7 linked regions of the Sus scrofa genome follow. The protein of the gene in region 4 interacts with the protein of the main gene of each other region in a pairwise test. Links are inferred from orthologs where the notes say so. Each region holds a gene or a part of one and is shown on either strand. Other genes may lie near its edges.

Region 1 (3,500 bases), on a different chromosome or scaffold from region 4:
AGGGGTATAAATGTTTAAGTCACTCTGGCCTCTTGGTCATAAATAAATGAGATAGTGTTGATTAGTGGCCCTTTTAGTAATCAAGAATCAAAGAAACTTAAAAAGATAATTGTCCTATAACTAAAATGAAGAGGAGTTCCTGACGTGGCTCAGTGGTTAACGAATCTGACGAGGAACTATGAGGTTGTAGGTTCAATCCCTGGCCTCGCTCAGTGGGTTCAGGATCCAGCGTTGCTGTGGCTGTGGTGTAGGCCGGCGGCTATAGCGCCAATTAGACCCCTAGCCTGGGAACCTCCATATGCCACAAGTGTGGCCCTAGAAAAGACAAAAATAAAAAATAAATAAAATGGAGAAAATGAGGGAGTTTCCTATGGCTCAATGGGATAGAAATCCAGTATTGGTCACTGCAGTGACTTAGATCACTGCTGTGAAACAGGTTTGATCCCTGAACTGGGAACTTCCACATGCTGCCACATGCCAAATAAGTAAAATTAAGAAAATGAAAGTCTCTTCCTATAAAACTTTGTGGCATGTATAGTAGGGTTTCCCTGGAACTACCCCTTCTAGAGTAATGTGCCCCGTAGCCCTAGGATTTGTAGTCCCAATCATCATGACTTAAAGTCCTCTTAAAACACTCCCGATCACTTTAAAGTTATAATAATGATTCAGAAGTCTTTATGTTAGTGAAAGCATGGATCTGCCTACCTAGAAATGACAGTTAATATTTATGAACTGTTACCTGTATGCCAGGCACTACGATAAGCAGTTTCCACATTCGATCAACATTTAATCCCCGCAGAGTTTTCATCTCCACATTATAGATGAGAAGATTGAATCTTATGGAACATAGGCATCTTTCTCCTGGTCGTAGAGGTAAAGTGGTTGAGCCTGAATTTGAACTAATTAAGTCTGTGTGACTTCAACTATATGTTTGTTAGCCTTTCCAAGTAAGAGCTTGGTGCTGGTTTGGTACTGGTACTGGTCTGTAGCTAAATGCTATTAGGTTTGAGCACTTACCTTCCTGTTTCTAGACATTGCTTGACTAAGGTGCGTCTGCACGTCCTTTTTTTCTTCCTTGCATTTAGGCACTGATGAACATGGCAGTGGAAACGCAGAAACGACAGTTAAGTCTCCTCATATCTCCAACTGCAGCGTAGCCAGTGATTATTTAGGTGAGTTTTTTGTATTAATAATATTTATTTTTTCCATCTTTTTCTAGCTTTTACTTACATTCTTGAAACTGTAACTAGAACCAAGGTCTTTAAATTGTGAAGGTTCTTGTCACCTCTTCTCCTTCGTCTCTTTCTGTTTCAGTTTTCCCCTCTTTCACTGCAGACCCAGCTTCTTCCCTGGTGAAGGGTCGTGACTGCCCTTGGATTCTAGTTGACGGCACTTGAACACTGAAGAAAGGGCCTACATCTTCCCAGCTCCAGTTTGAAAATTCTTGGGAAAGACTCTGTCAGTTTGGGTCTTGGACTTAGGCTTAACTCACACTGGTGCCAGGAGACTAATGAATTATTGGCCTGGATTGGGCTGTGTGATCTATTGCTAGAAGCACAGGAAGGACGAAGTGGGGCAGATACAAGCAGCAGGTGCAATAGAAGTCCACTCCACAGTTCTTTCATGGTACCTGGCACAAAAAGTTTTGTTGACTTGTGTGTCCTGCAGATCTGGATAAGATCACCGAGGAAGGTGATTCTCGAGGTGCTCGAGGGAGGAGAAAGGCAGCATCCCAAGCCACGGTCCAGCAGAGGAAGATCCTCCTGGACGGCCGTGACGGCAACGGTGACGGCGACAGTGACTCCGAACCAGACTTTGCAACAGGTGAGTTATGTCCTAACTCTGCATTAACCCCATGGAGAGTCAGTAAAAAGACCATTGATGTATGCAAAACACTGCTAAACGTTTGGTGTGCACAGACTGTGTGCACACTCAGGACTGTTAAATTCAGCTGTGGCATTTGGGGGAAGCTGTATCTGGAGGTGACCTTTAAGCCATGCCTTGAAAAATGAGTAGCATTGGGGTGAAATAGCACTTCTGACGGATAGAAGGGTATAAACAACAGAATGGACAAGCGCACGTACAAGAACTCGGTGATGCTGGGGATTCCTCAAAAAATTAAAAATAGAACTACCTGATGATCCGGCAGTTCCACTCCTGGGTATTTATCCAAAGAAAATAGAAACTGATTGGAAAAGATATGTGCACGCCCTATGTTCATTGCAGCATTGTTCACAATAACCAAGGTATGGAAGCAACCTGAGGGCCTGGCAGCAGATGGATGGATAAAGAAGATGTGGTGCATATGTATGTATTTAATGCACACACACACACCCAGTGGAATACTACTCAGCCAAAGAGAAGAATGAATTCTTGCCACTTGCAACAGTGTGGATGGACCTGGAGGGCATTTTATTAAGTGAAGTAAGTCAGACAGAGAAAGACAAATACTGTGTGATTTCACTTAGATGTGATTTCACTTAGGTGTGGAATCTAAAAATAAAGCAAATCAAACAGAACAGATACAGTCATAAATACAGAGAACAAACATGGTTGCCAGAGAGGAAAGAAATAGTTGAGGGAGTTGAGATGGACAAACCTCTAACTGCAAAATAAATGAGTTCATGACATGAAATGTGCAGTGTGGGGAATACAGTCAGTAATTGCATAACACCCTTGTAAAGTGACATCCTGTAACTGACTTAACTGTGGTGGTCATTTTGAAACGTATAGAATTAGCGAATCACTATGTTGTGGACCAGGAACTAACATGGTGTTTCAGGTCAATTCTACTTTACAAACAAACTCACAGAAAAAGAGATCAGACTTGTGGTTACCAGAAGCAGATGTTGGAGGAGGAACTGGATGAAGGCAGTCAGGAGGACCAGGCTTACAGTTATGAGATAAACAAGTACTGGGGTGTAACATACATGATGAGTAAATTAACACTGTGCTATGTTATACATGAAAGTAAGTAAGAGAGCAAATCCTAGAGTTCTCATCACAAGGAACATTTTATTTTCTATTTCTTTGATTTTGTACCTGTATGAAATGGTCAATGTTCACTAAACCCATTGTGGTCATCATTTCGTGATGCATGTAAGTCACATCGTTATGCTGAACACCTTAAACTTACATAGTTCTGCATGTCAGTTATATCTCAATAAAACTGGAAGAAAAAAAAAAAAAAGATGTGGAAACACATGCACACATACAAGGTATCCAGTGAGGCTTGCAGGGAAGGGAGAATGTGGTAGAGGCTGCAGAGGCCCCCTGGCGCAGGTTTGTGCAGGGTCCCTGACCCATCCTAAGAGGTGTAGAATTTTTTTCCATAAGTAATGGAAATTCACGAATCATTTTGAGGTCGGAATGATGTGAAACCTGTATTTTTTTGTGATAGTTTTCAGATTCATTCAGAGATTAGGGCAAATGGGAAGCATAGTGACCTTGACAGCATCATGGTATACAAACTAAAATTAAAATGAATAAATCCATAAATT
Region 2 (4,263 bases), on a different chromosome or scaffold from region 4:
TTACTCTGTCTTTTAGCTTCTCATTCCTGCTAGCTCTCCATTTTTAGGAAAATTAGGAACATAGTGACTTGGGGATCAAAATGAACTTTATAGGCTTTGTGGATGAAAACTAATGCCCTTCTTAGGTCATTTCCTGGACAAATAAAATCTGTCTGGAAATCTTTAGGACTCCTTTTATGATTTGTAAATACGTATATGTGGTTGCTAGTGAAAGCAAAAAATATAGAGGATCCTTTGCCCAACCCTCAAAGAGTGGCCTCTTGGGGTTTTTGTTTGGGCCAAAGATATCAAAGGGTTAATTTACTAACAGGAAGAGAGGTTTGGGAGGTGGTAGCTCAGTACTTCCTACTCTTCAAGACATTTCAGTGCCCCTTAATACTCCAGATACTAAATGTTGTGCTGGACATTTTGTCAGTTTGCAAAGATCGCACAAAAATGGACGTAATTTGAAAATTATGCAAGCTGTGTGACTTGCTACAGACTAACTTGCGCTTAAAATGGAGGACACATAATTACAAGCCACCACAAGAAGTGAATGAAGCTAAACTTCTGAAAAGCTGTGTCTCTAATGATCATAGAACATTCCTTTTCTGTCTAACGTTCTTCTAGCAAACTTTGGTTCTGAGGTTTTTTGTCCTGTGAGGCAGATGCAGAGGGTTTTGTAGGGGTTTTGGTCGAAAAAGAAAGAAAAGCTTTCCTGCCCACAGCAGCTGGTTGAGATTAGGACAGTTTCCTGAAGAGAAAGGAGGAAGAAATACCTAAGAAGACAGAATACACCTGAGAGAGAAAAGGAAATGCTGTCAAAATTTCCCTTGTCCTCTCCTGGTAAGATCAGAAGCATCAGAATTTAGGCAAAGAACAAAAGAATGCCTAGAAATGATCAGGAAGCAAAAACTTAGCTGGAAATCTCTCCTTTGTGTATATTCTCCAACCCATTCATCCCATCCTGCATTTGTTTTTTCCATCTCCTTCAAGTCTGCATGGACATTGGAGCAGTTTTTGTGCTCATCCTGATTGTCCATTTTCTAAACCTTTTCTGGTTGTCTGTGCAAGTGTGTGTGTGTGGAATCTTCCTAGGTCAAAGTACTTGGAACCAGAGGTATCAGCACTCCATCCAAACCCAGACCCTTCCTATCACTGTTTGTTTTATCATATGGAAATCACCCTCAATTTTTCTGCTTTCCTTACAAAGCCTAGTTTTCTTCTGCCTCATGTTTCAGAGAAAGGGGTTTTTAACTTTGGGTTCATAAACTCCCCAGAATTATTGTGTGTGCATTCATTTTTCTGGTGAGAGGGACTACAGTGGGTTGCAAATTTTTGTTAGCTTCTCATGGAAGTCTGTGACCTAAAGATTAAGAATTACTGGTCTGAGAATATGGTTCCAGCTATTTCCTCATTCCCAAGCCAGGTTAGGAACCCCTTGGCAAATAGAAGTGTCTCCCCTAATTATCTCCTTCCCCCAGGATGTGGGGGCTCAAGGTTGTACTACTGCTGCCTGTGATGAGCTCTGCTCTATACCCTGAGGAGATACTGGATACCCAGTGGGAGCTATGGAAGAAGACCTACAGGAAGCAGTATAACAGCAAGGTGCCTGGGAACCTGGAGGGGAACATGGTGGGAGGGCTGGAACCTGAGACCTCCAATCCTAGGTTCCAGACTCCCTTCCTCAACCCAATACCTTAATTACCTCAAGCAAATCTGCCCCTGTTCCCTGACTATTAACATACACTTTTCTCTTTTTGGCCACACCTGTGGCATGTGGAAGTCCTGTGGGCCAGGGATTGAAACTGTATCATGGCAGTGACAATGCTGGATCCTTAACCACTAGGCCACCAGGGAACTCCTTAACATATACTTTCCATTCCTAATCCTCTATTCACCCTCCATCAAGTCTTACCCTTCCTTTTCTTTATAACTGCCTTATATTTCTCTTTCGGGAAGGCTTCTCAGATTAATGCGATTAATCCGTAAGCAGTTTTTTTTTTTTTCTATACATCTCTCTAGAGGTTTGTATCCTATTATTTGCATTTGTTTACGTATTTCTCTTTGTATGCTCTCAATCCCATGATTATTTCCCCAACTAGATTGTAAACTTCTGTGATTTTAAATTTAATCTCTTCTCCTAAAAACCTGCATGGTATTAGGTATGTAACTTTCTACACAGGATACAGTCTATGCCAATACTGACAATGCTCTGTGTAGGTGGATGAAATCTCTCGGCGTTTAATTTGGGAAAAAAACCTGAAGCATATTTCCATCCATAATCTTGAGGCCTCTCTTGGGGTTCATACGTATGAACTGGCCATGAACCACTTGGGCGATATGGTGAGTTGAGCCTCAGCTCCTGGTCTATCTGCCCTGTTTGCCTTGGTTCCTTTCTTATGCCTGGCTTCTTTCTTCTTTGTACCAGACCAGTGAAGAAGTGGTTCAGAAGATGACTGGACTCAAAGTACCCCCCTCTCATTCCCGCAGTAATGACACCCTTTATATCCCAGACTGGGAAGGCAGAACCCCAGACTCTATTGATTATCGGAAGAAAGGATATGTTACTCCTGTCAAAAACCAGGTACCCTCTTTTTTCTTGGGTGTGAGTATATAAGCTGGCATGACTGCTTCCTTTTTCTGTTTCTTTATCTTAAGGTAGGAGGACACCAGGAGAGAGGGCAAAGAATTAATTTACCTCTTCCCCTGCTAAGAGAATAAATAAAGCCTATTCTGTTATTTAACTCATCAGCATTTTTTTTTTTTTTGGCTGTCCTGTGACATGTGGAGGTCCCTGGCCAGAGATCAGACCTGACCTGAGCCGCAGCTGCAGCAATGCCAGATCCTTAACCTACTGTGCCTGGCCTGGGATTGAACCTGCATCCCAGGGTTCCCAAGATGCCACAGATCCTGTTGCTCCACAGCAGGAACACCTCATCACCTATTTTTGTACATTTAAGTTATTTCTGGTTTGTCTATTTTTATAAGTGGTATTGCTGTAAGCACCTGTGTGCATATATTTTGTACATATATACAAATATTTATGCAAAATAAATCCTAAAATTGGAATCAATAGGTCAGAGGGAATCATCCCAAAAAAGTTTTTACAATCTTACATTCTTACCAGCGTGAGAATGTCAGTTTTCCCACAACCTTAACTATGCTGATTACATCAACCAGATGAACCGCTGATTTAGCATTTATTCAACAAACTCATTTTTTTTTCAGAACCTACCAGATATAGTTCTAGGCAACAGAGCTTCAAGATGACTAAGAATATAACCAGTGTCCTCAAGAAATCCCCAACCTTAAAAAATAGAAAGGACAGGAAAGAAAGAAAAATGGATAATCTAGCTGAGCAAACACTAATAACAATAGCTAGCACTTTTTGAGAGACTATTATTATTATACGTAGTAGTTCATCCTTTATATGAATTAATTTTTTAATCCTTATAATCCCATTAAGTATATTGTTATTATCCACAATTTACACATAAGGAGAGTGAGGTACAGAGATGTTTAGTAATTTACTCAAGGTCATATTCTATTGCACAGGCAATGCAGATGGCCCCCACCTTCTGATGGTTCACCTTATGATTTTTTTGTCTTCATGATGGTGTGAAAGTGATAGGCATTCCACAGAAACTGTACTTCAAGTTTTGAATTTTGAACATTTCCCAGGCTAGTGATAAGTGGTATGATGTCATCTCTTAATGCTGGGCTGTGGCAGTGAGCCACCACTCCCAGTGAGTCACGTGATCCTGAGGGTAAACGACCAGTACCCTTACAGTCATTCTGCTTCTCACTTTCAGTACAGTATTCAGTAGATGACATGACATAGTCAACATGTTATTATAAAACAGTCCTTATGTTAGATGATTTTGCCCACCTTTAGGCTACCCTAAGTGTTCTGAGTATGTTTAAAGTAGGCTAGGCTCAGCTATAATGTTCAGTATATTAGAGGTATTAAATGCATTTTCAAATTACTATGTTTTCAATTTATAATGGATTTATTGGAGGAAGATCTGTATTCTCTTCTGCTTTAGTACAGCTAATGGGAACAATAGTGACAACAATAGAACAATAGAACAATGCAATAAATGCTAAATGAAGGGAAATAGGAATACTTCATAGCAAAGGGGACAGGTGCTAGAATTTATAAAATGTATAGAATTTCATAGGACAGGTAGAAGGAATAAACAAAGTATGACAACAATGACTGATAATTTCTCTGCTATGTCTCTCAGGGTCAGTGTGGTTCCTGTTGGGCTTTTAGCTCTG
Region 3 (3,460 bases), about 20 Mb from region 4:
ACCCTCACCTCCTTGGAGAAGCCCTCCCTGACATGTGGTTAGTCAGTCCAACCTCCCCAGCCTCTGCTCAGCACCACTGGACACACAGCAGATCGGCCTGCGTCTCCTTGCCCCGCCTCCAACGGGAATGGAAACGTCGCGGGGCAGGGCTTCTGTCTGCGGGTGCACTGCTGGACCCCGGCATCCAGACCGGGGGTCAGAGAGAGCGAGACCAGATCCCTCAACGCTGTGCCAGGCCGGGAGCCTGGGAGACGAAGGTGCACAAGACAGAAACACCTACCCTCGCAGAACAAGTGTGCCAAGGAGGCGAGGTTGCTGGAATGGGTACTGAAGGGTGACAGTGCTGGTGGAGGGCACGGACCCCCATGTCGTAGGCCAAGCAAGCCTCCCCCACCCCCAAAGGTGTCTGTGAGCCACTCTCTGGTCCTTATGAACCGTCACCTCGCCCGGGCCAGGGATCAAACCCCAGCCACAGCAGCCACCCCAGGATCCTTAACCCACTGCACCACAAGGGAACTCTTATTTGATTTTATGAGCGGCCATGTGATTAAGTTAAGGATCCTGAAATGGGGAGGTGCCCTAGATGGTCCGATCCTGGGGGATCCCAGGGGCCCAGTGTAATCCCTGGGACCTCAAAGGAGTCGGAGGCGTGAAGACAGATGCAGAGTCAGGCAGAGGCGGGAAGGTGCCGCACTGGCTTCGGAGAGGGAGGCAAGTGCCACGAGCCGAGGGGCGCAGGTGGCCTGTGGAAGCTGGAAAAGGCGGCGGAGCGACCCTCCGAGGACACAATTCTGCCGACACCGTGACCTCGGCCCAGTGAACCACCACGGGCTCCGGACCCAGGGAACTTTAAGTCAGTAGCCCTGCAACGCTTTAGGCCACTAGGCTGAGCAGTGACGGGAAACTGGTACAGCAGGGGCAGGGGAAGTGGACCTGGGGGTGGGGGGGCACAAACACTCCCACCTCCACCGTCAGGACAGCGCAGACGGGGTGGGGGTGGGGGTCCTCTGATCACAGCTCCCCCCACCCCCACCAGACCGCAGACATGCAGACAGATGCCGGCTGCCCCTCACCTTCCCCTCCGTACTCTCGTGGAAACTGTCCACGCGCGCTGCCAGCGTGCACTTGGCGGCCACCAGCCGGGCCGCTTTCCGCCGGAGATCCTGGAGCAACGACAGAGAGGCAGAGTCAGCGTGAAGATACAATCAGATCACAGCCGTTTCCAGAACTCCTGCCGCCATGGGCTCCGTTTCCCACACCAGCTTTTGTCTTCACTGCTGTCGTTACTGGAATAACGTGTAACAATAGCAAAATGTTGCGGTCGGTGTCTCCTCTCACCCACCTTCCCATCTCCCCAGACAACAGAGATGCATTAACACAGAGGCAAGACGATGAAATACTGAGAAAACATGTTACAATTAAAATAAATAAATGAATAAAATCAAATAAGAGTTGCCTTGTGGTGCAGTGGGTTCAGGACCCAGTGTAGCCGCTGTGGTGCAGTGGGTTAAGAATCCTGGGGCAGCTGCTGTGGCATGGGTTTGATCCCTGGCCCAGGAACTTCAGCATGCTGCAGGAGCAGCCAAAATGTATTTTAAAATATTTTTAAAAAATCCATCAGTGTACCTGAAAGGCAGGGGCTGGAGCTCTGAGAAATACCAAGATGATACATGAGCCCCCAAGTCCCAGTTAGCAACGATAGGAGAACTGAACCCAGTTAGCCAGCGCAGCGGAGAACTGAACCCTGCCCGAAGAGGCCTGGCCTTGGCCCTGGCTCCTGGGCGTCCTGGTGGGGGCCCTGGCTAAGCTAGCGTGCAGCCCTGTGTTTCAGGGTGGGGTCTCTCACCAGGCAACCCCATCTCTGCCTGAGCCAGGTAGAGACGGAGGCCTGAGGCCCCGCTGGGCGTCCTGGTGGCGACTGTGTCCTGTCTCATGTGGTGCCTGTTTGGTGCTTCCAGACCCTGCCCTCACGCTTCTCCCTGGCTGGTGTTCGTCTGGGTTCCCACGACGTGATGAACCTGGATCAGCTCGAGGTGAGCTCTGCAAGCCCTTCTGGGGGTCACTGAACCTGACCATGGCCTTGGGAACCCCGATCTCACGCTTCCATCACTTTTGATGTGTGAGGCCTGCCCTCAGAGTGTTTCTCGTATGACTGAGTCCACGTCGCGGCCCCTGAAGCAGGTTCACTCCCCCAGCTTCCAGACAGGGAGGCCAAGGCTCAGCACTCAGGCCTCTGGCCCAGCTGCGAAGTGGCGCGGCCAGCATCCCAAACTGGCGCATCAGCTGTGGCATCCTTAACCCATGTGGGGCATCCTCTAGGGTTCCATGCACCGGGGTCACAGGGGAGCCGCGGGCCCTGGGGAGCTGCCCTGTGGGGCATGGCAGGTGCGGTGGGGCTGGGGGCTCACCGGGGGCAGGGACTGCACGATGTCGCTGTGGTAGATGTAGCCGGTGTGTGGCAGCACCGAGGTGGACGAGAAGCCGGACAGCGTCTTGCGCTGGGCGCCGAGCAGCATGATGTTGCAGGCGGGCATCTTGGAGAGGTTGGTCAGGCCGCCGGCCACACCTGCGCAGGAGGGCGGGAGTCAGAAGGCAGGCGGGGGCGGGGGGGTGTGTGTGCACGTGCGGGGGTCACTGTGTTGGAGCCTAGGCGGCCCCGCCAGGGAGGGCCAGGTGTCCCACTCCAGGGGGCATTCAGAGGTGGCTTAGAGAAGTGAAGCAACTGGCCCAACAGGAACCTGACCCCAGAGCCTGCAAAGCTGCGGGGGGCCTCCCCCCCCCCGCTCTGTGCTTGAGAGCGGTTTTCACCACACCGGGAGCACGTGCCCACACGGCCCAGTGTGGCACGGCATCTAGGTCCCCTGGAGCGTCTGCAGGCGTGGGGGATGGGAAGAGGAGCGGTGGGTAACACGTTCTCCCTCTGATGGGGACCACTGTGGGCGGGGCCCTGTGCTGGGGGTTTCTGAGGATGTGGCCCACTGTCTCATCCAACACGTGAATCCTCGAAACAAGCCTCCAACGCCTGTGCGGGAGCAGAACAGCGCCCCACGGTCACTGACATCGCAAGCCCCAGAAGTTGTGCCTGAATACAGCCAAGGGGACTCGGCAGGGCCCTGAGAAGGGGAGACTGTCCTGCAGGACCTGGGCGGCTCAGTGTCACCGCAGGGTCCTCGACGGCAGGAGAGAAGGGCGGAGTCAGAAGGGATGGCCAGGATGGAGGAGCCCCCCCCCCCCCAAGGAGGGCAGGCGCCTCTGGACGCTGGAAACGGCAGGGAACGCGGCTTCCTCCCTCCCCGCCCCCCACCCCAGGACCAGCCCTCCTTCCCCACCCCTTCATTTTAGCCCGGTGAGGCCCCTGGTGGACGTGTGACCTCCACAACGGTCGGGTGGTAAACTGCACTGTTTAAGCCTCTTGGTCTGTGGTCGTCTGTTACAGCAGCAACAGGAAGCTGGCACACCC
Region 4 (4,087 bases):
GTGTAGGCCGGTGGCTACAGCTCCGATTCAACCCCTGGCCTGGGAACCTCCATATGCCGCGGGAGCGGCCCAAGAAATAGCAACAACAACAACAACAGACAAAAAGACAAAAAAATAAAAAAAAATAAAAAAAAAAAATGTTAAAAATCATACTTGGATGGACTACGTGGAATAAATGCTAAAATAGAAACTGGACCATAAACAAGAAGGAGCTTAAGTGCAATAAAATCAGTTTTGACTGGACTTTCTCCCCCACCTCCCCTACTCATTCTGAGTCAGCTGTTACATGTGCTCCAGGGAGTTACATGTGATCCAAAGGATCACCAGGGTACTGACTTTGATTAATTCCTCCTAATGATGAACGGTTACCTGCTCTAGGAGTAATTTGGGGAATGAAAGGGGCGACAAGGGGAAGGGTCTGCTGCCATCCCACCATCCACCTCCTCTTCATCATCCATCTTCATGGAAAGTTAACACCAGCTAGGAATTAATCTTGTTTCCTACTGATCCATGCCCCCTTCAAAAGTGAGAAAGTAGAAGAGAAATGGAGGGCCATCCTCTCATAAAAGTTCTGAGTCCAGTATTTAGACACAGTAAATCATTCTACTTCCATTCTACAATATAAACCAGTATAATTTGCAAAGGTGAAGGAGAGTCAAGAAAATAAAGATCAAAAGCACCAGAGAGACTCACACAACAGTGGAGGTGAGGGATAGAGTCAACAGGTAAAGAATGCCTCGTACCCTAAAGTTCACCAGTGTTGCTGAAGCATTCATCAGCACACCAATAAACACTATTTATGAAATAAATGCCATCTGGAAGAAATGATCAACAATGTTAACTATGTGTCAGGGTGAATGAAAGATAAACTAGCAGCTTTTCCCAGGAATCTACCTTTGCTGGGATACGGTAGGCCATTTTCTTGGGGATGACAAAAGATCAGTCTACGGACGTCCTTAAGAGTATATTCCCAAGAACCCTAAGCCATATTTCTATCAAACTAAAATTTAACTCTTCAGATTTCATATTTTCCCTAACTGTAATTATTCTATCGGAAAGATCACTGTCACTAAAGGACTAAAGTTCAAGGAGAAACAAAAGTACCACAGGATTCTATCATAATGTGGCCCATCACAAGGATTTAAGACAACAGGAATCAATTCTTACCATCTGAAGCCCTGTGTAACCCAGGTGTTCTAGACCAATATAAAGGAACTCTCCTGTAATCCAGTTTTCCCCAGGAGATTTTTTTGTGCATATGATGATCTATGCATTTTATTTTAGGTCACTAGCAGAACAATGGGCTTAGCATTACCAAAATGCCCTGTATGTGTGCTGTATGCTTACTTCATAGTCCATTTTATGCTGCTTATTTTAAGAGAGCAACGTAGTAACTGGGAAGTGGTTCCTTCAGCACAAAATGATCTAAGCCACCAATGCCTTTCAATTCACTACGCCAAAACAACAAATCGCGTCAGGAGGCAGTAAACTCAGTTTGTATTCAACATAATATAACTACTAAGCAAGCAAAGCATTACTGTTTAATTTCTTGACCTAGGAAAATAGTTACACATTTATCATCAATAGTTCAGACTTATGATATAACACATATTTATTATTTTTCCAAACACTGTAGAAAAAGCACGATTTAAATTCCTATTCAAAGTGTGAAAAGCAAGCAAAATGTAGCTTGTAATTCTTATGAATGAAAGTATTACAGGACAGCAGCTGCTAAAACCTCCCAAAGCTCAGAAGATGGAACCCAGCTCCATCTTCAAACAGAAAAGGAATCCTAAGAACACAGCAGACCTGCAGTAGGAATCAAGGATTCAAGTGTCTGGACAACCCTGGAGGAGTCATTGCATAACCTGAAGTTTGTTTTAAACTGAGAAAAGTAGAGCTGCTCAAAAGAAACATCTCCAGCTCAATTACGCTGCAGCCATTCCCTGATCCATTCAAATTCCACCAGCTTATAACAACTTGCCCAATTCACAATTTAAGCAACCCAGTCTCTTAACAGTAATACCTTTTCTCTTCCTTGTCCCGGATGCTGGTAAACAAGTGAGCAAGACGCCCCTCCAGGAGTACAGAAAAGGTAAGGGAGACTTCCCGGTCATGAGAAGCCAGGCAGCTCATAGCCTTTCCCCCACGAATAGAGACTATTTGTAACAGAGGGCCCTACTGGACACCTTCCGTTCCTAAATTTGTCCAGGGTCAACTTTTCAAGACAGGAAGGCACGTGCCATGCCCCATACACTCCATTCACTCCTCAGAAGCACCGGCTACAGCGGCAGAGAAATGAAGCACCCTCCCGCCCCGAGAGGAGTCGACCACACCTCCCCATGAGCTCAAATTCGCCTGCGTCTCCAAAAATGGGAGCCATTGCTGAGCTGTCCTCTGCTGGGCCCTAAACCTTCGTCTGTCTCCCAAGTTTGTCTTCCCAAATTCATCGGCTAGGCTCTGGCCAGCTCGGTGAAGGACAGGGCTGGAGAGTGCGCAGCAGCGACTGGACGAAGCGGTGCAGCTCTCAGTCCCAGCTCTGGAGCTACCGCTGCAGGGTCCGGCCCGCGGGGAGAGCCATTTGGAGGCCTGGGCCGGGCTGCCGCTGGGAGAGCCTGCTCCAACGCAGATTGCCAGCCGGCCGAAGGCTCAAAGCACTCAGGGCGGTGGCTGCCGCGGCAGGAGAGGGGCGGGCCGGCGCATGGAGGCGGGGCTGCAAGCTCCGCCCCACTCGGCCTAGGGCGGCTCCAGGGCTCGCAGTCGCTCCTGCACGGCTCTGGCAAGAATCCCGAGCATGCAGCGCGCAACTCCCACACAGCTACCCAGCTCCGCAGAACCTCGCGATCCCCGGAGACATACCGCACGCCTCAGCTTTTCCACCGGCTTACGTGAGGTGGAAACACTCCGTTTCAGTAGGCCCAAACAGTCGGATATCGCAATTTGGGGTGGTTTCATAGCGCTACATAGAATATATGGAAAATACGTGGCCAGACAAGCACTCTTCTCTGCTCTATACTCTGCCAGTTAACCGTGCAAACTCCGGATTTTTATATAGCAAAAGCATTTGTCTACTTCATTAACTATTTATCAGATGTCAACTACCTTATTTCCTCAATTCTAACTCACTTCTCCATTTTTACCGCCGTCAGCACCTTATTTCAAACTTCCTTTCTCGATTCGAGAAGCCGTCGCAGTGAGAGTCGTAAACACATAACCATATTAAACTTCTACTTCAACGTCCAAATTGAGATTTTATTCTCTTCCCACTCTGGGAAAGCCATCTTAAACGCCCTCATTAAACAAAATAGCTTGTTTTGTTTTTAAACAAGCATTACCCTTGTCCCAATAAAGTCCTGGGCCTCAGATTCTCATTGCGTCAGCTCCAGCATTCAGAGGTTTAACCTGTCATTACATCACGCTTAGGGCAGCCTTTAAAGGGAGCAAGAGCTTGTAGTGGAGAGTGAACCCTGTGTAAATTGTAGATTGTCCATTTTCAGCATAAAATTTTAATTCAAATCACTTCCCCATCCTATTAATAGTATTCAGTCACCTCAGTCTCATTTTGATATTAGACAAAACATCATTAGGAACTGAAACATAACTGAAAATATAATCTGTCCACGGACAAATCTAAATTATTATTACCAATGTCTTTATTTTTTAATACATATTCACTCTAGCTAGGTGTTGGGTTTCTAAAGTAGAAGACTTTTAAATGTTTTAGGCAGAAAAACTCTTTCCAAACAGTATGAAGACAGAGTCCAAATTTGTAAAACAAGTAAAAAGGATGACAAATTCCTCAAACTAAAAAGTTTTTTTCCTCCAACTTCCAAAGGACCTGTATTGAAGCTTACAACACTGTCTGAAAACCATTAATCTATGGACACATTTCTCAGTAAGTCAGTCACGACAGTAAAAATGGAAGAGTTCCGGAGTCATCTACACTGGGATTCAAACCCAGCTTTCACCACCTACTCAACTGTAAAATCAGAACAGTACTGCCAGCCTTGCATGCTTTTACATGGATTAAGGGAGATGGGTAAATTACGTACATTACAGGTGGTACAGATTCCAAAATATGGAAGTA
Region 5 (4,111 bases), on a different chromosome or scaffold from region 4:
TGAACTTAGAGCCCCGTAAACAGGTCATTTCTCTTCCACTACAACTATTTACCACAGTATTGAGCTGTTCGGTACATTGGTTTTCAAATATCGTCAACCCTCCAAAACCCTAAAGAACAAAACCCAACATAACCAAAGGGGAAAATAATCCCAACAAAAGTACAACAGAAAAAACTGTGCCTCATGTGTCTCTGCCAGCTCGTCTAAAGGCAGGTGCTCATCCCTCCTTCCTATCCCAGAACTTGTTCACTGTCGGTGAGAGTTATGGGATCCAAAAGGCCAGAGGAAAGCAGCAAAATGTTCTTGAAGAACAGAGAAAGCCTGGTGTGCCCCCGCCCCCACCCTAACTTTTTTAATCAGCTGGAATCTGATAAAATTAGCAATGAGGAGCTCTGAAGGAGAAAAGCACTCATAAAAGGTAGGTGACCCTGGGGATAAGGAGTGGCAGGAGCGAGAAAGAGGTAGGGTTGGGTTGCACGGACCTTCCTGAACCTGGAGCATATTTCAGCACCAACAAGCTGCGCTAAGAGTAGCTCAGATTCCTTCTCTGATTTATAAAGCACCTACTATGTATCTGCAAAACACTAAGCCTAGGCACCAAAGATAGGGAAATAGTCTCAAAGTAAGAACAGGAAAAGAAATTAAGGGAGCAATATGAGGAAGATATCAGAAAGACTGCATTATATCCAAGGCACAAGGATTTCCAGGATGGGCTTGCAGGGTAAATTTCAAGACCACTGGCCCAGCCCCCACCATCATTCCAAACCTGCCAGACTAACAAACCAGTCCAAAGTAACTCCTAGATAACAATGTAGCCCAGGCCAGCAGATAACAAGGCATTGGCCTAAGCCTTAGAATCTACAGTTGTCAGCGGGGCCTCAGATATCATCTTATCTACAACCCCTTCATCGGACAATGAAGCCAAGGCTCAAAGGGAAGTGACTTGCCCAAGGTCACAGTTAGTAGGTACAGCCAGGACTAGACCCAGGTCTCCAGGCTCCTGTTCTGGAATATTTCCACTGCACCAGGCTGTTTTACAGCCCTCTCCCCTGGGGGACCCTCACCTGGGAGGCGCGTGGAGAGCCCAGCCATCCCTACAAGTTCAGAGAAACGGAAGGTTGGAGGTCAGATGAGCGAAGGCGTTACTGTGGGGAAGAGTCTGGGACAGAGGAAAAGGGATACTTGGGCAGGAAGACTCAAGGTGAAGAAAATGGAAGAATATCTGTGCAAAGAAGCAACAAGACCATCCAAAAACTTCCTAATAACAAGGGAGATAGAGGCCAGCAAGAACTGCCAAAAGATGGTATAACTTGGAACAGGAGCATTCCCATCCTCCCACCATGCCTAAGGGGAGGGACCTGGAGAAACAACTACCACCTGCAAGTAACATGTCTACCTGTTCCAAAGACTGCTGGGTGGACACGGTGGACCCTTGGGGAAACTCCTCTCCACCAGCAGCACCCGAAACATCCTTCAGAATCCAGCCGAGCGTCCCAAGGACATAGCCAGAGGCTGAAAGGCCCAGTGGAGATGCAGAACCCCCATCTATTGGACATCCCACTGGGTCACTGCCATGGCAACGAAGAGGCAGAACTTGCCCCTCAAGAGTCTGTCCCAGGGGTCCATCTACCAGTCACTCCCCCTCCAGTTGCCAAAGCAACTCCTGTCCTCCTACAGCACCCTCAGGGAAGGGAGCTTAAGAGTACCTACCCCGGCAGAAAAAAAGTCTACGCACAAAGGGAAATCTCGGAGCACAAAACACTAATGAAGATCCACCCACCGCTTAAGGAAACCACAGCTAGAGGCGCAGGGGTGTTCTGGGGGTTTGAGGGTGGGGGTCACGACTTGTTTGGTGTGCCTGTAAGATTGCCCAAATGCTCCCCTCTTTTTCCACCCTCCCGGAAACCCTTCCTCCCTAAACTCTCCCTTCAGTGTTCGCATCTTCCTCATCAGTTGCGGGAGGACCCACACTACCAGGCCCTAGCGTGCCCCTCTCCAAGAAGCACCTATGTCTGGGATTGCAAAAACAAGGTCAGAGGTGACCTGGAGTAGAGGAAAGAAAATTGAGTCACAAAGGCATCGCCTTCCCACTTCCACTCGGGAGCACCTCCCCTTCTTTTCAAGGGTGGCCCTCTCCTCGGCCATCTCTGAGCCCCCCTCAGTTCCATTCTCCTCCCTCATCAGCTACAATCCCTCTCTTTCCACCTACCACACCCCTTCCCCATTTCCCACCTCCCTTCTATACCTAGCACCCCGAACCCCAGGATCTGAAACCGGGTTCTGGGCCTTTGAGGCTTTTCCTGGAGTCCTCCTGCCCCACCTCGTTGCCATCTCTCCATTCCTTTTTGCCTTCGCCCCGAGGCCCCCCTGACGGGCATCCCGGTTTTCCTGCGCCAACCCTCCACCTCGGGGGTTCCTCTTTAGGTCCCGGGATTCTGGCCACACTCCCGCCCCACCAGCCCTCCTCCTGTGACTCTCCCACCTCCCCCCACCTTCCTGATCCTCCGGGCGTCCAGGCCCCCATCCCTCCTCCGGGGCCGGCCCCACCCCCTGAGCCCCCAGTCTCAGGCCAGCCAGGGCCCGCAGTAGGGGACCAGATCGGGGAAAAATAACAAATGGAGGCGGCGGCGGCGGCGGCGGCAGGAGGGGGAACTGGGAGGGGTGGGGGTGGGGAGCCGCGGGCCAGAACCCGGGCGAGCGCAAGGCCCGGGCGGCAGCAGATCTTACCTGTTTGTAGCTCGGGACGGCTGGCTGGCTCCGAACGGGATTTGGGGCTCCGGCGCCTCTGGGGGCGGCGGCGGCCGCTCCCCCGCCCCCCTCTCTTTCCGGCTTCAGTCGCCGCCGCGACGGCGGCGGCGGCGGCCCCGACCCCCCCGGAGGGCGGCCCCCATCTTCCCTCTTCCCCCACCTGGCCCCGATCGCCCGCCGGCCCCCGAAGCAAATCCCAGTCCCCGCTCTAGTTCTGCCCCTCCCCAGGCCCGCCGCCTACCCCGGCTGCCCAGAACGTCCGGGCCGCGCCGCCCGTCCGCCCCCGCGGCCAGGCCGGCCCTCCGCGCGGCTCCGACCCGCTGCCTCCCGCCAGCCGCCCGCGCCCGCCCCGCGCAGCCCGCACTTGCGCGATCCCCGGCCCCCTAGGCGGCCTCCGCCCGCGGCCCCCGCCCCTTCCCGGGCGGTCTTCTCCCTCGCCCCCTCCTGGCTCCTCCCTGAGGCCGGCGGTCCCCCTGAAACGGGTCCCGGCCCGAGGCCCCGGCCCGACGCGGGGCTGCGGGCGGGCGGGCTGGGCGGCGCGTCCGGCGACTCGCACAGGAAAGCGGACGGCGAAGGGAGGGAGCCTGGGAGAGGGGGATGGGAGAAGGGAGGAAGAGGGAGAAGGAGGGAGCGCGGAGGAACGGAGGAGAGAGGGGCAGGGAGGGAGCCGCGAGGGAGGGAGCGCGAGGCGAGCGGCGAGGAGGGGCGGAGAGGGGGATCGGAAAGGGGGAGGCGCCGCGCGAGTTGGCCAAGACCGAGGCCGAGGGGGCCGGGGCGCGGGGAGGGGTTCGCCGTGGCGGAATGCGGGGAGCCCGCGGGCCTGGCGCGGGAGCGGGCTGGGTAGGAGGAGCCGTGGGTTGTAGGGGCAGAGATGGGGGAGGCTGGAGAAGTTTGGGGGCCCAGGGCTGTGTGGCAGAGGCAAGGGGGGAGGTTGTGGGTATGTAGCAGAGATGGGGTAATGGGGTTAGGTTGGGGCGAGACAGAGCTTCCTGGGGACAATGAGATGTGTGACAGGGGAGGTGAAAGAAGCTTGGGGTGATAGTGTCTGGCAGACACCTAGCGTAGCAGGAAAGGTTTGGGAGGCAATCGTGCAAAGGGGCTGGAAGTTTGGGGGTCATAAGGAGGGGAAGATATTGAAAAGATGGAGACATATACAGGAGAACGGGATTTCTGGAGGAGAGTGAAGAGTTTGGGGGTGACTGGTGTTGACAAAGGGATGGGGAAGGTAAGAAGTTGGGGGAATGACAAACCTAGTGATGTCATGGGGAAAGAGAAAGCAAAGCTAGAAGAACCTTAAGAAAGGATGAAGGAGGTGGGGCCAGGTGCATATTCGAGGAGGACTGGGTTCTGGGTGGGAAGAGAA
Region 6 (4,251 bases), on a different chromosome or scaffold from region 4:
AAAAGCTTTAAAATACCTTTACTCTAAAAAGGAAACACCCTTTTGCTTTCCTCTTTTTAAACGTGTCTTTTTTGGTTTTTGCCTACTTTCTATACATGAACTGTTCTCAAACCAGTCTGTTTCAGTGTTAGTTGTTTACTGTCAACATGTCTGTATATACTTAGGTTTTTTACAAACAGTCCTTTATAGTACAGCGGTAAAAAAGAAAAGGTAACCAAAACGGCACAAGTGAAACAAAAGTGGACCACATCAAGAAAGACCATTCAATTTCATTTCTCTGCCTCAAATTCCCTTTAGTCCTCACGCCAAAGAGCCTCAATATCTAAAAGAAGCACAACACCATATGTGATAAGGCAAACACAGGAGAAACCAGATCAGAAACTGAAGAAACCTGATAGAATGTATCACCACCTGAGAAGAATTACCACAAAACAAAAAATAAATAATAAACCCAGTCCCTGAATGCTCCTACTGAAGGGTTCCAATGCATGGCAAAAAGAGTTTTTTATATCTCTTTTGACTATGAGAAATACATTTTACATTCTGATCTAGTACACATGTGTGAACTAAATTTCCCAAAACAATATTTTCCATTACCATGTGAAATGCTAGTCAATTCTTTTCTATTTAATTTCATTTTCAAAACTGGTGGTAAGACCACTAAATTGATTTTATAAATTACTAATGAATCATAATCTACAGTTTGAAAAACATAGACTTAGGACAGGGTTTCTCTTATATTAGGTTTTTGGGTTTTTTCTTTTGCAAGTTGCTTCTACTCATCCCTAGCAGGGCAGACAGGTATTTTAAGGTTGGTATTATTACTCTTTTCAAAAAAGCAAGAGGTTCTTGAAGTGTGGTCCCCTGACCAATACAAGCATCACCTGAGATAAATGCAAATTCTCAGACCCAAACCCAGCCCTAACTGAATCAGTAGAGCTAGCAGACTGCTGTTTAACAAGTCCTCCAGGTGATTCTGGTGCAAATCAAAGTTTGAGAACAACCGCATTAAGGAATTCAGGTCTTCCTTTATCTTCTACACATTTGATAATCCAGTACACAGTGCTTACTCTGTGCCAGTCATCAGCCTAAAAGTTCCACAAAACATTAACTCACATGAGAAAACAACCCTTAAAAGTAGGAACTCTATTATACAGATGAAACTTCAGCACAGAGAGAGGTTAAGTTGTCGAAGCTAGGTGGTGGAACTAGAATTCAAACTTATTTTTAAATTGACATAAGTAAGTCTGTCCTCTTCATGCCCCTCCTCTTGCTGATCAAGTCCGCAGTCCTACTCCTTTATCTCGGCTACTCCTTTTCCCATTCAAATCTCCCATCCTGCCAACGTCCTTATTTTCTAGCATTATTGCTGTCGTCCTAAAACAAATTTCTAAAGCAATGGAATGCGAGTCACAACCTTGCTCTTAAAACACTTTCTCTGATCCTAGATGGCATCTTAGTATTGTGAAGCTGAAACTTCTATTTCTTAGGTCCTTACAACCTATTAAGGGCCCTATGTTAATTTCTCATATCTACGGTTCTGGCCAGTTTCCACAAGACCACGCTTCCTGGGCAACTTTCTGGCTCCTTCCTACTACGCCCTATCTTCTACTCCCTTCCTACAAGGAAACTACTTTTCCCCGCCTACCCGTATCATTTTCCTTGATTTAACTCCAGCTGAGAGAACTTCCACTCCTCAGCTAGACCCCTCACCCTGACGTCAAACCCAAGCTACCCCCATGAGGATTTTTTTTCCCCTGATCTCTTGTGGATCCTCAGACCCAGGAGTTCCCAGTCTGATCTAGGATCTTCCATCCCAGACCAGCGGTGGGGGGCAGGGCGCTCCGGTTCCTAACTTGTTCAAGATCTCCATGGGTCAGACCCTCCGAAGATCCGTAACAGTCCAAGAGCGCTTCTCCCTCGGACAGCCGCCCTTCTCAGGAGGGTGCTCAGCCCCCTCCCTGTCTTTCCTAGACGCCCTTTCTCCGACCCCGGCTGCTCCCAGTACCCTGGACCCCGACCTCCCTCGGTCTCTCTTCTCTCTCGAACCCAAGCCACTCCCAGTCTACGGCCCCCCGAGCCCCTCCCCGGCTTTCTCCGCTCGGGCCGCTCCCGGGATTCCCTGTTTCCACTTTTTCCTCGCTCCGAAGCTGTCCTGGGTATTCCCGAGTCACCCTGCCCTCGGACCAAGTCGTAACCCGCCATCCCCTCTCTAGGAGCCCAGTCGCTCCCGTCTCCCTACGGACCTACCCCTCACACACCCGCAGCCAGTCAGTGCCCCAGACCCGAGCGGCTGGCTGGGCGTCCCAAGGAAGCTCCCGGCCCAACTCGCTTGAGTCCGGCCCCAGCCTACCTTGCCAGCGCGAACTCCGCCGCCGGGAGCCGGGCGGTTCTCGCACTAGCCCAGTCAGCGCGAACTCGCGGCCACCGCCCCCGCCCTGGCCCCGGCCCGGGCCCGACCCGGCCTGCAGCCCAGGCCCCCTTCCGCAGGCCTCCGCCTCCGGATGACCGAGCTGGAGTTTTCGCTCGGAGATGGCCCTCAGCCTTCAGGCCCGCGTTACAGGCACTCACCTGCCGCTATCCTCGACCAACTCCAGCGCCACTGCCTCTACCTCGGCCGCCGGCAGCCACCAAGCGCCACCACCTCCCCCATGACAACAGGCCCACCCCGTTTCACACTTCCTACCTCTCCATTGGATAGTGGTGATACAGCTCTCTGCTCTTATTGGCTTAGTTTACCCGTCCGTCATAGCTTCCTTACCGCCCCTTTTCCTGGACCCGGTATTAGCCCCCTCCCGGACCTGGACCGTCCCAAGCCCAGCTTTAGTTGTAATTGGTTGACGGTTGGGCAGTTCGAAATCCTGATAGGCTGCAGAAAGTGTCTATTAAATCAACCTGCAAGGGATGTGGCGGCGACTGTTGGTTCGAGCTTGGGCAGTTTGGTTGCGCAGTAGAAAGCAAGGAAGGGGCAGGCGCTTATTGTCGGAGGGGAAAGGTTAACTCTTTGTTGTAAAATTGACTCTGTAAACATCCCTTTCTCCAACTTCCTCTCTGTAAGGAGAAACTTACCACTGCCTGCTCACCCAGAGGGCAGTACTTACCAACAGCAACATCAGAGTTGGCGTTTAAAGACTCATTAGCGGCTTCTTGAAAGAAAAGCACGTAGATGAAAATTTCCTCCTCTTCGCTTGAAGTCCTAAGGTGCTCAGTTACCTTAAAGTTCATCTCCATGCTAAAGGGCAAAGAACCACCACTGAAGTTAGTCCACTTTGGTTGCAGTTATAAACGTCGTTAATGAATTGAAGTGGTATGTTGAGAGTTCTGCAGCTTTCAGACGCAGCGCTGGATGTCTCCTGCAAGGGACCAGGCAACCATCAGCAAGTTTGGACTATATGGGCCACATTTTACCCTTGTGATGCTCTGAAAAGGAGAATTCAGCTCCCCGTAACTTGCTTTCTATGCTCAGCAGTTCTTAAATAGCCCTACTAGATGTGTGTCAGATACTTTAAAAGCTTGTCTTTTTTTCTGAACCTCTCTTCCCAGCAGTCTAAATTAAGACCATTGAATGAATTGCAGTTCTTTTCTCACATGGCACAATGTACAAGAATAAATGATTGCATTTTTTATTCATTTGGGTACAAATCACAGTAGGCACTTTTGAGAAATCTGGTGTTGCTATAAAAACTCTTGTACTCCTAGAAATATATCCACCATTAGCTTTTTGCTTTTCTTTTTCATTTCTGCCCACTCTGCCTGTTCATAAATAACAAAATGCTCACCTAATTACCCTTTCAGTTTCTAAATCAGATTTAAATGTACCCTCCTCACAATTCCACCTATAACATAAACCCCATGGGTCATGAAACATACTCAAGGATGGACTGGAACAGGTTGAGGATGTACTTCCCTCTTAAACAGCACTTTATGGTTGGGGACTTGCTGTGGAACCAAGAATCTGGACTTTGCTCCTTACTTCTTCCTGCTAACTCTTTGTTCCATATTTCTTCTATTTACCCTTCTTTCCTTTGCCAGCAAGCAATAAGAAGTCTAAAACTGCATGGTTTGTTATCTCCCTCAAAATTGTCTATTTTCTAACATATATTTTTAGTCACGTTTAAATAAACTACATACTTCCATCACCAAACTAAGAGGAAATTATTCCTCCAGCAACTCTACGTAACAATAAGATGTCTTTTCCTAGTTATTTTCCGGAACTTTCCTCCCCCTTCTCTCATCTTCACCTTCCAATTT
Region 7 (3,500 bases), on a different chromosome or scaffold from region 4:
TCCCTCCTCCAGCACCATCCTACTGCACTGCCAGCCCTGTGTCAGTCTCCATCTCCTGCAGGAAGCCTCCCTGCCCCCTCTCCCCATCAGTGAGAGTGACCGCAGTTCTGGAAGGGCTAGCCCGGCAGCCACTCCACCTGGCGACCCCACCACCCATGTCCAGGCCTGGCTCACCCACCCTTTCCTCCCTCGGCCTAGCTTTCTGCGCCCTCAGTTTCCTCTCCCCCTCCTTCCTGGGTCAGGCCCAGGGACAGAGCCCCAGGAGTTTCTATGGCCAGTGGTGCAACCCTGTCCCTTGCAGGCCTCTCTCTGGAGTCAATTCCAGGGCTGGATGCGGGCAGGGCTCAGAGATGAAGCCCCGGCCTTGTCCCCACTGCCAGCTCCACGGAAGCCTGAGAAAGAGCCCTCGGCTCTGTCTGATCAGCCCCACGAGCACACGGTGCATGGCAGCTGCTCCCCTGGAGCAGGTTTCAGGGAAACCTGGCCCAAGTAGCGGTATTCTCATGGGTCCCAACCTCCAGGGGACACACTTTCCCTCTGGCCTCTGCCAGAAGCACGATGCTGGGTAAGTGCTGGCTGACCCCATGCCCAGGGCAAGGGGACCCCGTTAGCTTCTGAGGGCTGAGTGCTGGGGCCCCGGCTCCTCGGAAGTGGCCGAGTGGAAGTGTGGGGCTCTGGGGCAGTGCTAGCTCGTCTGAAGGGGCCCAAGATTCACCTGCCGAGAGGAAAAACCTGCCGATCTGGACGAAGGGGGCAGTTGCGGTGAATGACTCCACAGCCATTGCACTGTGGGAGAGAGGGGGAGTTGTGGGTGAAGGGCCCCCCACCCACGGTACTCCCCCAAGTCCAGCCCAGCCCAACACCATACGTCTTACCTTTCCCTCCTGCACTCTCCGCCCCGGCAGACCCCTCTCTTGCCTCCTGGCCCCCAGGGCTTCATACCCTCCTGCCTGGACCCCTAGGAGCCTGTTCTACTGCCATCTGATGGCCCATCTATGGACTTCACACCCTCACTGACCCTTCTCAGCCCTGCCAGCATCCAAACCCCACAGCGCACATTCAAAGCAGAGCCCAGCTCATGGCGGCACTGCCAGCCTGAGTTAGCTAGCCCACCCCCACCGCCAGCTAACCTTCCTATGTGGGGCCCCCCCAAAGGGCCAGCTCAAATGCTGCTGCCCCCTGAAAGTCCAGGCTGACTGTCCTCCCACCTCACTGCCACTGACCCCCGCCCCAGGCACTGAGGTCAGCCTTATGCCCGTGACCTATTTGAGGAGTGGTTGCTGGGGCCCAGGGGAGTCTTGCCCCTGTGTTCCTGGCAACCAGCACAGGAGCTGGCCTCAGATCCAGTCTCACATTTTCCTTGGCTCATGAGACAAAAGTAATCCAGTCCCATTACTCAGATGAGAAAGCTGAGGCTGAGAACCTGTCAGTGGCCAGTGAGGCTACGCTAAGGCCTGGGACTCATCCCTCACCTGGGGTTTTTGTGGCCAATCTCTCGGTCAAAGTTTCTGCTGTTGATGATTTCTGACCTCCATTCGGTGTCTGTTGTGGAGAGAGGGGACGCAGAAACCATGGAAAAGTGCACACAGGAGTGAGGCCCACTGGCCCCGGCCTCTTAGCCAAGTCTGTGACCACCCGAGGTCCAAAGGGGCAGCGCCCAGGGCCTCGCTGGACAGATGGGAGAGCAGGGCTCTGGAGGCCCGCTAGCAGGGGGACAGAGCACAGGGGTGCAGGGTGGCTTGGGGCCCCGTACTCACTGTAGGAGTACCTCGTCTCTGTCTTCACCTGCCCATCCTCGGTGTGCTCCCTGCAGGGGAAGACGGCAGCCCTGAGTCAGCCCAGCTTTCCGAGCAGCTCCCATCTCTAAGCACCTCAGAAGCAACCTCGGAGCTCCCTGGCCAGATTCCCCATGTGGAGCAGCCACCAGCTCCAGCCCTTGAAGGCCTCCCTGCGCTGAAACCAGCCTCTCCAGTTCACACTGGGGTCCCAGCCCTGCCCATGGGAACAGTGACCTGCCCTCATCTTCTGCTCTGGGACAGCCCTGTAGGAGCCCCAAGGCTGTCCTTCCCCAGGCTGAGCCACTCAGGCTCCCCCAGCCACCTTCACTCAGAGTGTGGCCAATGAGAGCCTGTCTGAGAGTCCTATTAGAACTGACAGGATGTAACTCAGGAGGCCACCCCCAGCCATACCCCCATGGGAGAGAAGATGGGCCAGCATTCGAGAGAGCTCTGTCCTCAGCCAGAGCAGCAACGGCCCTAGGAGTAATAGCCTTCTCCTCCAAATCACTCTGCAGGAGATTCCTGTGCCTCCAAACAAGGCCATCAAGTTAGAATTGGGGGCAACTTAACATTTCTCCCAGAGGAAGAGTTTATTTATTTATTTTTAATTAATTAATTTATTTATTTATTTGGTCTTTTAGGGCCGCAACTGCGGCATATGGAAGTTCCCAGGCTAGGGATCAAATTGGAGCTACAGCTGCCAGCTTACACCACAGCCACAGCAACAAAGGATCCGAGCCACATCTGCAACCTACACCACAGCTTACAGCAATGCCAGATCCTTAACCCACTGAGCAAAGCCAGGGATCGAACCTGAGTCCTCAGGGAGGCTAGTTGGGTTTGTTAATCACTGAGCCACAATGGGAACTCCCAGAGGAAGAGTTTATAACCTAAATTTCTGAAGTGTCAAGATGAAAGCCATCTGCATGTCACCTGGACCCCCGTGCCTCCCCCACCCCAGCTGACTCTCCACCCTAGCTCTCACCTGGACTCCTCAGTTTCCACCCACTGGTACATTTCCACGTGGCGCCGCAGCTTCACAGCCGGAAGGTGGACCCCATAGTTTGGATCAGACAAGAGCTTCAAAAAGAAACAAACCAAGAAAAATATAGGGCAAGACTCATACCAGGCCAGAATAGCTGGCTCAGGGAGAGCTGGGCTGGGGGAGAAACATCAGGGGGCAGGGGAGCACGGAGAACCCACAGCTGAGCACTGAGGGGAGCCGCAGGGAGCTGTACACCCCAGTGCCGAACACGCAAGCCTGTGACGAGCCTCATGCACAGCTCAGGCAACAGGTGCGAGGGTGCAGTGCCCAGAGAGGGTGTCAGGGTTCGGACAGTAGACCCTGTACCAGACACAAACCCATCACCATTGTTAAAGCACCTCTTGTGACGGTCATGGCACAGTCAGAGACTGTGTCAGGAGGTTAGCTACCGAATCCGGCCCAGCTTTAGAACCAGCCCCCAGCTTGTTACAATTATTTCCTCATCTTACCAGGAGGACAATGAGATGCAGGAAAGATGGGTCTAGAAGGCTGCCAAGTGGTGCACTGAGTCACACTAAGTGTGTCCGTCCGTCTCCAAGGCCCATGATTTCAAATCCTCAACCAGACCCTCTCCACAGTCAGCAGCCACCGCCAAGCTTACCTTGGATGTCCGCAAGGCCCCAATGATGTGCACCAGCTTCCCCTCATTCTCCGGAGCCACACTGTGAATGCTCTCA

Evidence for each region.
Region 1: the proteins of SIAH1 (region 4) and RAD51AP1 interact in binary tests that used the Homo sapiens proteins (3 or more experiments, as listed by UniProt). The two-hybrid records come from large-scale screens. The link is inferred for Sus scrofa from reciprocal best matches to the Homo sapiens genes SIAH1 and RAD51AP1.
Region 2: the proteins of SIAH1 (region 4) and CTSK interact in a two-hybrid assay, tested with the Homo sapiens proteins (2 studies listed by BioGRID). The link is inferred for Sus scrofa from reciprocal best matches to the Homo sapiens genes SIAH1 and CTSK.
Region 3: the proteins of SIAH1 (region 4) and PRPF31 interact in binary tests that used the Homo sapiens proteins (3 or more experiments, as listed by UniProt). The two-hybrid records come from large-scale screens. The link is inferred for Sus scrofa from reciprocal best matches to the Homo sapiens genes SIAH1 and PRPF31.
Region 5: the proteins of SIAH1 (region 4) and ATN1 interact in a two-hybrid assay, tested with the Homo sapiens proteins (2 studies listed by BioGRID and IntAct). The link is inferred for Sus scrofa from reciprocal best matches to the Homo sapiens genes SIAH1 and ATN1.
Region 6: the proteins of SIAH1 (region 4) and NUMB interact in a two-hybrid assay, tested with the Homo sapiens proteins (2 studies listed by BioGRID and IntAct). The link is inferred for Sus scrofa from reciprocal best matches to the Homo sapiens genes SIAH1 and NUMB.
Region 7: the proteins of SIAH1 (region 4) and TMEM43 interact in binary tests that used the Homo sapiens proteins (3 or more experiments, as listed by UniProt). The two-hybrid records come from large-scale screens. The link is inferred for Sus scrofa from reciprocal best matches to the Homo sapiens genes SIAH1 and TMEM43.

What each region holds. Positions count from the first base shown.
Region 1 is NC_010447.5:65,883,711-65,887,210, reverse strand, and holds part of RAD51AP1 (RAD51-associated protein 1), read left to right. Parts: intron 1-1,085; coding exon 1,086-1,172; intron 1,173-1,668; coding exon 1,669-1,824; intron 1,825-3,500. UniProt on the Homo sapiens protein: Structure-specific DNA-binding protein involved in DNA repair by promoting RAD51-mediated homologous recombination.
Region 2 is NC_010446.5:98,391,563-98,395,825, forward strand, and holds the start of CTSK (cathepsin K precursor), read left to right. Parts: upstream 1-1,463; 5' UTR 1,464-1,464; coding exon 1,465-1,587; intron 1,588-2,202; coding exon 2,203-2,325; intron 2,326-2,410; coding exon 2,411-2,566; intron 2,567-4,229; coding exon 4,230-4,263. UniProt on the Homo sapiens protein: Thiol protease involved in osteoclastic bone resorption and may participate partially in the disorder of bone remodeling. Displays potent endoprotease activity against fibrinogen at acid pH. May play an important role in extracellular matrix degradation.
Region 3 is NC_010448.4:55,998,048-56,001,507, forward strand, and holds part of PRPF31 (U4/U6 small nuclear ribonucleoprotein Prp31), read right to left. Parts: intron 2,567-3,460; coding exon 2,409-2,566; intron 1,164-2,408; coding exon 1,074-1,163; intron 1-1,073. UniProt on the Homo sapiens protein: Involved in pre-mRNA splicing as component of the spliceosome. Required for the assembly of the U4/U5/U6 tri-snRNP complex, one of the building blocks of the spliceosome.
Region 4 is NC_010448.4:36,359,273-36,363,359, reverse strand, and holds the start of SIAH1 (E3 ubiquitin-protein ligase SIAH1), read right to left. Parts: upstream 2,801-4,087; 5' UTR 2,118-2,800; coding exon 2,027-2,117; intron 518-2,026; exon of another isoform or gene 455-517; coding exon of another isoform or gene 370-454; intron 1-369. UniProt on the Homo sapiens protein: E3 ubiquitin-protein ligase that mediates ubiquitination and subsequent proteasomal degradation of target proteins.
Region 5 is NC_010447.5:63,792,649-63,796,759, forward strand, and holds the start of ATN1 (atrophin-1), read right to left. Parts: upstream 2,738-4,111; 5' UTR 2,728-2,737; intron 2,586-2,727; coding exon of another isoform or gene 2,425-2,585; intron 1,384-2,424; coding exon of another isoform or gene 1,341-1,383; intron 1-1,340. Other genes in the region: uncharacterized protein LOC110260590, read left to right, coding at 1,341-1,383, 2,425-2,585, 2,738-3,592. UniProt on the Homo sapiens protein: Transcriptional corepressor. Recruits NR2E1 to repress transcription. Promotes vascular smooth cell (VSMC) migration and orientation. Corepressor of MTG8 transcriptional repression.
Region 6 is NC_010449.5:96,795,891-96,800,141, forward strand, and holds the start of NUMB (protein numb homolog), read right to left. Parts: upstream 2,801-4,251; 5' UTR 2,572-2,800; intron 1-2,571. UniProt on the Homo sapiens protein: Regulates clathrin-mediated receptor endocytosis. Plays a role in the process of neurogenesis.
Region 7 is NC_010455.5:70,403,714-70,407,213, forward strand, and holds part of TMEM43 (transmembrane protein 43), read right to left. Parts: coding exon 3,425-3,500; intron 2,859-3,424; coding exon 2,764-2,858; intron 1,808-2,763; coding exon 1,758-1,807; intron 1,543-1,757; coding exon 1,473-1,542; intron 787-1,472; coding exon 716-786; intron 1-715. UniProt on the Homo sapiens protein: May have an important role in maintaining nuclear envelope structure by organizing protein complexes at the inner nuclear membrane. Required for retaining emerin at the inner nuclear membrane.